Canis lupus familiaris: one gene and its partner. The protein of the gene in region 1 interacts with the protein of each later gene in a biochemical or structural test. Links are inferred from orthologs where the notes say so. Each region holds a gene or a part of one and is shown on either strand. Other genes may lie near its edges.

Evidence for each region.
Region 2: the proteins of DDIT3 (region 1) and ATF3 form a complex in vitro, tested with the Homo sapiens proteins (2 studies listed by BioGRID and IntAct, with this or other methods). The link is inferred for Canis lupus familiaris from reciprocal best matches to the Homo sapiens genes DDIT3 and ATF3.

The regions. Positions count from the first base shown.
Region 1 is NC_049231.1:1,963,327-1,967,894, reverse strand, and holds the start of DDIT3 (DNA damage-inducible transcript 3 protein), read left to right. Parts: upstream 1-1,602; 5' UTR 1,603-1,704; intron 1,705-2,383; exon of another isoform or gene 2,384-2,466; intron 2,467-2,562; exon of another isoform or gene 2,563-2,712; intron 2,713-4,568. UniProt on the Homo sapiens protein: Multifunctional transcription factor in endoplasmic reticulum (ER) stress response. Plays an essential role in the response to a wide variety of cell stresses and induces cell cycle arrest and apoptosis in response to ER stress.
Region 2 is NC_049228.1:10,645,555-10,649,355, forward strand, and holds the end of ATF3 (cyclic AMP-dependent transcription factor ATF-3), read left to right. Parts: intron 1-82; coding exon 83-190; intron 191-1,710; coding exon 1,711-1,908; 3' UTR 1,909-3,166; downstream 3,167-3,801.

The DNA of each region.
Region 1 (4,568 bases):
CAAATTGGCTCCAAGTGGGGACGCAGCCCCCCCCCCCGCCTGCAAGCAGCCCCCCAGCCTCACCATCGCTCCCACCCCACACCGGCGGCTCCTAAACTTTCCCTCTCGTAACAAGGCGCCCTGTCACCCAGCCTGCTTCCCTCTGCCTGGGGAGGAGGGGAAGGCGCACGAAGTAGGAAGGAACTTGGGGAGAGGGCGGGCGGAGGGTGGGCGAAGCACTGAGGGAGGGAGGTGAAGAAGGCAAAAGTCAAGCAGTGCGAGGGAGAGACGGCGGGGGCAGGTGAGGGCGGGGGGGCGGGGATGGGGCCGGGAAAGGGGCCGAGGACGCGGGGGGCAGAGGGTAGGGACAGCAGGGGAGGGGAGGGGGAGGGGCGGGGGGGCCGGGCCCTGCACTCACCGCGGCCCATGGCTCGGCCGGCCCCGCCCTGCGCAGTCGCGGCCCAGAGGGTGAGTGGGAGGGAGTGGGAGGAGGGTCGGCGGAGCCCGAGCCTCCGGTACGGCCCCGGCCGGTCCTAGCAGGAAGCGCCGCCGCCGCCGCCGCGGATCACCGAGCGGCCTCCCGCGCATGCGCCATGGGGGCCAGGGGCAGCCCTGGGGATTCCGTTCCCAGAAGGCACCGCGCAGGCTGCCGCCGCCGCCGCCGCCGTCGCTGCCGCCGCCGCCGCCGCAGCCGCCGCCGCCGCCGCCGCCGCCGCTGCCCGGACGGGAGAGGGGCGGGGCCGGGCCCCCGCCCAGCGGACAACGACGAGCCAACAGGAGGGGCCGCAGTGCGCATGCGGGAGCGCGCCTACCCCTCCCCCACAACCCCCCATTAATCCCCAAGAGAACAAACACCCCACGCGGCCCCCCCGCCCTCCGCGGAAGGATCTGAGCCTCTTCCCAGGCCACCGGCGGCCAATCCCAGCCCTCCCCGGGGAGGGGCCCCTTCCAAAGCCACAGTCTGTCGGGGGAGCCAGGAATGCCGGGTCCGGGAGGGGCCGGCCCCAAAAGATGAAAGTCGCGACTTGCCCTGCCCCGCCCCAAAGGCTTCCCGGGTAGTGTGCTGGGACTTGACCCGCCTCCCCAGGTCAACATGTCACAACAGGACCTCCGCCTGTCAAGTCACATGACCTCTGCCTGTCACTGACAACCTGGTCATGTCTTTGGGCCAGGAGAGACCATCTGGTCCAACCCACCCCCACCCCCATCTACTGAAGGGGAAATGGAGGTCTGGAGCAACGGAGCAGGCCCGGCCGAGGACCTGTCACCGTCACACCACCACCTAAACCTCCTTGCAGCCACAACCGGCCTTGTGACAGATTCTACTTAACTCTGGCTGCCCCCGTGAGGGTATGACAGTGAATACAACCGGCCGCCACATGGCATCTTTTTTCTCTCTAATGGCACAAGAAAAACGTTTGCATTTTAAGCGATGCTTTTCACTTTTGTTTAAGCTGCCTCCAAGTTCATAGTGCTCTCGTTTTACCTTCACAACTCGTCATCCTTTATTTACAAACAAGAACGGTTGTGGCACAGATATTAGGGGGCAAGTAAAGGGGCAGGTGAGGCCAGACTCTGGGCTCCTGACAACCCGGTGCAAGGCGGCTGCGCGCTCAAGTGCACCCAACGTCCCAGGCAACGAGGCTCTAAGGTCGCCCGAGCACCGAGGCGGCAGGCGGCGGGTGCACGGCTCCTCACGCAGGAGTCACAGGACCTGCGCGGCTGGTACAGCGAAAAGGGCGGGTCTTGATCCTTGGTGGAGGCACCAGAGTACGGGGGGGGGGGGGGGGGAGGCTGAGAATCGCGTCCACCGGGCCAAGTCCTGAATCCTGGCATGCTGAGCGCTCATCAGAAACTTCACAAAGATAAAAGTTAGGGGTGCTTTTCGGCGAGGAGCTGAAAATGACCATCAAAAGTACTCAAGTTCCTCGGCCCCTTCTGGGGGAATTAGGGAGCTAAACGGGATCTTTCTATGCGCCTACTCGAGGAGACGTTAGGCGGTCCTGTGGCTGCATGCAAACTTTCAAAAGAGATTGGCTTAGAAGACCTCGCGCCCACTAACTAGGAGGGGACCGAGCAAAATGGGAGCCCCCCATGCAGACGGCGAGGCGGGGGCTAACGCCAGGTGGGCGGAATAAGGGCGCCGAGGAGGACGAGCCGCAGCGCGGCTTCGCAGGCAGCCTGAGGGCGGCCACGGTTGGGAGCCGTTGGGGCCGTTGGGAGCCCGGCGCTGGCGCCCCGCCCTCTCCTCTCCCCCACCCCCCCGCACCGCCCACCACCCTCGTCGGCCCCTGCGCGTGCGCGCCGAGACACCGGTTGCCAAACATTGCATCATCCCCGCCCCCCTCTCCTCCCCTCCTCCCCTCCCCCCCAGCTCTCCCCTCCGCGCGCGCGCATGACTCACTCGCCTCCTCCGCGGAGCCTCGTGACCCAAAGCCACTTCCGGGTCCGACACCACCTCTACCCCCGGGCCGGCGGGAGCGAAGGGGGCGGCGCCGCGGGGGCTGCTGAGTGGCGGGCGCGGGGGGCGGGGCGGGGCCAGCGCCGGCGTGCCGCGCCCTGATTGGCAGGCTTGCGGGCCCGCCCCCGAGGGGAGGGCAGGGCCTCCTTAAAACATCCGCGCTCGGGCCTCCGAGGTCAGAGGCTTGAGTGTAAGGCACAGAGCGGATCATGTTGAAGATGAGCGGGTGGCAGCCACAGAGCCACAGTCAGAGCCGGAACCTGAGGAGAGAGGCGAGTACCGATCCCACCTGCTCTTTACCCTCTAGTCCTCGGGGATGCTGGTTGTCCCTTCGAAGTTGGGGCATCAGCTGCTCAGGATGCGGCCCCACCCGTTCCCCGACGAAGTTAGTGACAGTTCGAGGGAGGGACGGGGAGCATCCTTTATCCGGGAGTGGTGCTTACAGACCTCTCTTCCCTCGGACGGGAGCGGCGCCCCACCCTGCCCGGAGCGCGGGCCCGGCTCTGGGCCGTCGGGCTAAGGGGTCCGGATGCCCTCGGGAGACTCCCTGTCTTCCGCTGCTGCCCTAGGCCGCCTCCTTGGTCCTGTCCGGTGGGAGGCGGGGCGGCAGGACACTCCCCCACGCCGAGACGCCTGGATGGCTCTGGCTCACGCCCTTGCCGCCACTTTCCCACCAGCGGCCCTGCCCCTACCCCACCCCCAATCCTGTCTCAGCCCAGCGTCTCAGGGCCAGAGTGGCCACGTCGGTGGATGGAGCTCCTGGGTCCTGCACAGGACAGCCATTCCACACCCTAACGGAGAAGAGAACCTTAAGGAGACAGACTCCAGACTTTGGGAGGAGGAGGGATGCCAATGGCTAGGGAGCAGAGATGGGTTTTCCCATTCCCCCAGAGGTCCCGGGGGCCTCCTGCACAAGAGAGCATTCTGGATCCCTTAAGTGTGGGAAGCCATTTGGGGTCTCCCCAGTGTAGGGTCCTTCCGCAGGGATTTGTCCCTGCTGCTTTCCCCGCGTCCTGCCTCCCAGCTAATTTCTGTGTAACCGTTGCATCAGGCCAGCCCCCTGTTTGGCTCTGCAGCCCTCTGGCCTGGGGCCCCACTGCTGATGAAAGCGGCATCCCACACGCTGGAAGGCAAGGAGGGTCCCCCAGGGAGGACAGCCCTGAAGAGAAACACTCTGGGAGATATTGCATCTCCAGTCCCCAGGGCTGGGCAGCTGCTGCTCTGCCTCTGGGCTTCCTCCTCCCTTCCCTATGAGACACTGGGGAGAATTCTTTCATTCTTCACAAATTACTTATTACACACCTGCTATGTGCCACACATTTTAGGCCCAGGATGCATCTACGAACAAGGAAAAGACCTGTTCTCACAGAGCTTACATTTCGTGGGAAAAGGTGCACAGCGAACAAATATAGAAGTGCCAAGGAGAAAACCAAAGCATGGAAGGGTAGTGAATGCCCAGGATGTTTACCTTGAGTCATTAGAGATTCTCTCACAGAGGTGACATTTAAATGAAACTTCTGAAAAGAGGCAAAGTAGTAAGCTGTGCAGATTTGTGAAAGGAAGAGCTTTCCAGGAGAAAGAACAGTGAGAACAGAGGTCCTAAGGTGGGAGTGTGCAGAGTTTAGGGAGCAGGCCAGCTGGACGGACTAGAGGGAGAGTGGTCAATGAGAAATCCAGGGCAGGGAAGGAGATTGTGTGGGGCCTTCTAAGCCATATTAAGGACCTTTAGCCTTTAATATTCATGAACTTTAGTCCTTGAAGAGTTTTGAACAGACTGACAGGACCTGACTAGAGTTTTAAAAGGCTCACTCCAGGGATCCCTGGGTGGCGCAGTGGTTTGGCGCCTGCCTTTGGCCCAGGGCGCGATCCTGGAGACCTGGGATCGAATCCCACATAGGGCTCCCGGTTCATGGAGCCTGCTTCTCCCTCTGCCTGTGTCTCTGCCTCTCTCTCTCTCTCTCTGTGACTATCATAAAAAAAAATAATAATAATTAAAATAAAATAAAATAAAATAAAATAAAATAAAATAAAATAAAAGGCTCACTCCAGCTGCGTGTTGTGAACAGACTTGGGGCAGGGTGGCAAGAGCAGAAGCCGGGAACCTGAGTAATCCAGCAGAGGAGAGTAA
Region 2 (3,801 bases), on another chromosome or scaffold:
TTACTGCAACGAAAGGCAGTGCGTTGAAGGCGGGTTGTAATTCTTGCCTCCCATTAAGTGTGTGGTCTCTTGAATTTTATAGGTAGCCCCTGAAGAAGATGAAAGGAAAAAGAGGCGGCGGGAAAGAAATAAGATTGCAGCTGCCAAGTGCCGCAACAAGAAAAAGGAGAAGACAGAGTGCCTGCAGAAAGTGAGTCTGCCCGGGGCACCTGGGTGCTGCAGTCGGTGAAGCGGCTGACTGGGTTTCAGCTCAGATCATGAGCTCCTGGGTCGTGAGATCGAGCCCTGCAGTGGGGTCTACGCTGAATGGGGAGTCTGGTTGTGGATTCTCTCCCTCTGCCCCTGCCCCCACTCACTCTCTCTGGCTCTCTAAAATAAATAAGTACATCTTTTAAAGAAAGAAAAGGAAGGAAGAAAGAAAAAGAAAAGGAAAGAAGAAAGGAAGGAAGGAAGGAAGGAAGGAAGGAAGGAAGGAAGGAAGGAAGGAAGGAAAGAGAGAGAGTCTTCCCCTTCTGGCCCCCTCCTCTTGCTCATGCCTGCCCCTGCCAACCTCATGTTCCCATCACAAGGAGAGTCCAAAAGCGCCCTGCCTAGAAGTCTCCCAAGAAGGATGTGTAGCTGGTAACAGAAAGGCCAGTTGCTGAATGAGGAGGTAACAAAGCTGTTAGCACCATCGAAGGGAACTCTGGTTGTAGAAGCAGCAGGTGTGTGAATTAAAAACCACAGATTGTCTGCTGCCCAGATTCCCAGCAGTCTTGGCTCGTCCATACACGTCCAGCAGCTTCCAGGCTGCAGGATATGTCAGCCCAGTTAAAGAAGCTTCACTCACCCGTTTTTACCGAGAAAAGGAAGCAGCCAGTTCTCACTTGGCTCAGTATGAAAAGCCTTTAATTAATCTCTTCAAACAAGTTATTTCCTTAAACTGCAAGCAGTGGTTATACTCTTTTTCTTGGCCCTCTTGTGTGTTGGTAACTCTGCCTCCCTTGTCCTGGGCTCTTCCCATAGTCTGAGCTCGTGGCTGTGTTCAGCTAATTCCCCTTCTGAGGGGAGAGGTACAGATGGGCACAGCATCTCTGGGCAGGTGGGGCGGGCCGTAGCACAGTCCTATGGCTGTGTCCCCTTCCCCCAGGTGTGGACAAGCCAGCGCTGAGTCTCTGCCCAGGTCCTCCAGGTCCCCAAGGATTCTGTTGATTGCTTCAAGAGAGGTGGTGAAAATTGAGACCTTTTGTGTGTGTTGCCATGTACATTTTTTCTGGGGAGGTGAACCTCTCACTGAAGTTGGTGACTCACAAGAGCCTGAATACCATGAGTCTGCATTTCTCCCCAGCCCTCAAGGCTCTCGGGGGCTCGGGAGAGCTGCACGGGGGCTGTTGGACTCACACAAAGGAGATCGGTGAGCTGTCGGTTCTGCAGCAGCCTCCTTACCATGAGAGTCACAACCCACCCTCAACCTTCAGTGGAAACTCAAGGGCATCTCTAGAAGCCTCCAAGTTCAAAAGCTTCTCTCCAGGGTCTGGGTTCTCCCAGACCTCATGCTGTTGTCCCAGCTTTGCGGGGTTGCTGGACCAGCGAGCCCACGGCACTCCCCTCCGCAGGCCATCCCCAGCTTGATGAACTCCCGAAGATGTGTGGCCACCGCCGCCCCAAGGCCAGCCCCTCTTCACTGGAACCATGGCTTCTTGGCTAATAATTCTGTTGCTTGTCCCCCAGGAGTCGGAGAAGCTGGAGAGTGTGAACGCCGAACTGAAGGCCCAAATCGAGGAGCTCAAGAACGAGAAGCAGCATTTGATATACATGCTCAACCTTCATCGGCCCACGTGTATTGTCCGGGCTCAGAATGGGCGGACTCCAGAAGATGAGAGAAACCTTTTTATCCAACAGATAAAAGAAGGAACATTGCAAAGCTAAGCAGTTGTGGTATGGGGGCAACTGGGGAGTCCTCATCGAAACCTACTACATCCCAAACCCTGAAGCCATTGGAGATCTGACTTCCTGTGCACCTCTCGCATCCTGGCAGTGAAGGACCATCGAGGCGGGAGAGCCCTTGATGACTCAGCTGGGCCTTTCCTCTCTGCACCAGAGTGGACTTTGGACCAGGGCAAGGGCATCTTTTGTCTCAATGCCAAGATTTAGGCCTTAACTTACTGGCTATTCTTGGATGCTGTAGGTGGCCCCTGGTTAGGGTCTTGCCCATCTTTTGCCTGGATTCTACAGAAACCAGGACTCTCACCATTAGGACTCATGCTCAAGAAGTGTCTGTACCTTGGGTGGGTGGTGTGGGGCCACGTCCTGCGCCGCCACTACCACTGTCACTCCTCGGGGACACAGAGTGAGAATGGCATTTAGTGAAGTTGTACAATGGCCAGGGTTGTGCTTTCTAGCAAACATGCTGTTATGTACAGGAATTACTGTGTGCAAGGCATTTGTGTCAAAGCTAGGCATTGTGCTCTTCTGATGTTTGTTTTGCACAACACCGGTGTGATTTTCCTCAGATCTGGCTGCTGAGAGTTTGAGGGGGCTATCACCATATGCAGTGTCTTACAAAACGTTGAGGTGGCCAGAAGAGCTCATCAGCTCCGGGAGAACAGAATTCTGCTGGCGAGCAGTGCGGTTTTTGTGTCAACAGAGAAAGCTGCCTTTCCCGTGGCACCCAGGCATTAACGCAGAGTTCATGGGCATGACTGCAGGTCCTCTGTCACAAACTCAGTTATAATGTCACAGGAAGAAAGCAGAAAGTCCAACTTCCAAAGGTCTAGGACTCTCCACTCAGTGACTTAGGTCAGGAGTTATTTCTAGGCCAGCAGAGCCAAAGAATATTCCATTTTCCTTTTCTTGCAGTTGCAAACCACATTCAGTGGAGACAAGTTTGAAGCCAGGTGATGCCTAGGCTTTAGCATTATTGGATGTTAATGGCATTGTTTGTCAGGCGGATGTTTGTAGAAATCTGGCCCAGAGCATTTATTGCTGTGAGAGGTCATTCACACTGGCCATAGGACTCTGGCTACTGTCTGTTTAAATTCTGATGTTTCTGTGAAATCCTCAGAGTGTTTAATCCTACTTAATAGTGTCATTACAATTTTCTGTAAGAGAATATATTACTTATTTATCCTAGTATTCCTAACCTGTCAGTACAATAAATATTGGAACCAAGACATGGTAAACTTAAGTGTTGTACTGGTTTCTGTTCTTTTTAAATCAGTTGCTCGTTGAAATCTAGTCATTCTCCATCCCCTCCCTCTCCATTGATGGGGAGGGGCGTTTAGCTTAAAAATTCTCCCAAGTGTCATCCCTTTGCTCTTTGGGGGGCCACCAGGTGAGATCGTTGACTTTCAACCCTGTTCTCAGTCTGTGGCATTGGATGATGCTGTTTCTCATTGACAAACCCTGGAACACGGCGCCAACCAAGTATAACCTTTAGGCCGTTTGGTGTCAAGATAGAGGTTTGATATAAAATCCCAATTGCAGGGCAGCCCGGTGGCTCAGTGGTTTGGTGCCGCCTTTAGCCCAGGGCGTAATCCTGGAGTCCTGGGATCGAGTCCCACATGGGGCTCCCTGCATGGAGCCTGCTTCTCCTTCTGCCTGTGTCTCTACCTCTCTCTCTCCGTGTCTCTCATGAATAAATAAAATCTTTAAAAAAAATTAAAATAAAATAAAATCCCAATTGCTAAATACCTTGACTGTGTTTCTCGGAATGTACAGACGCTGAAAACGTAGACCTGATGTTCACCTTGACACCGTACATTTTGCCACGGAGCACCTCTTATTTGCTCAATTACATCAATTATGTCCACACATGTGTCT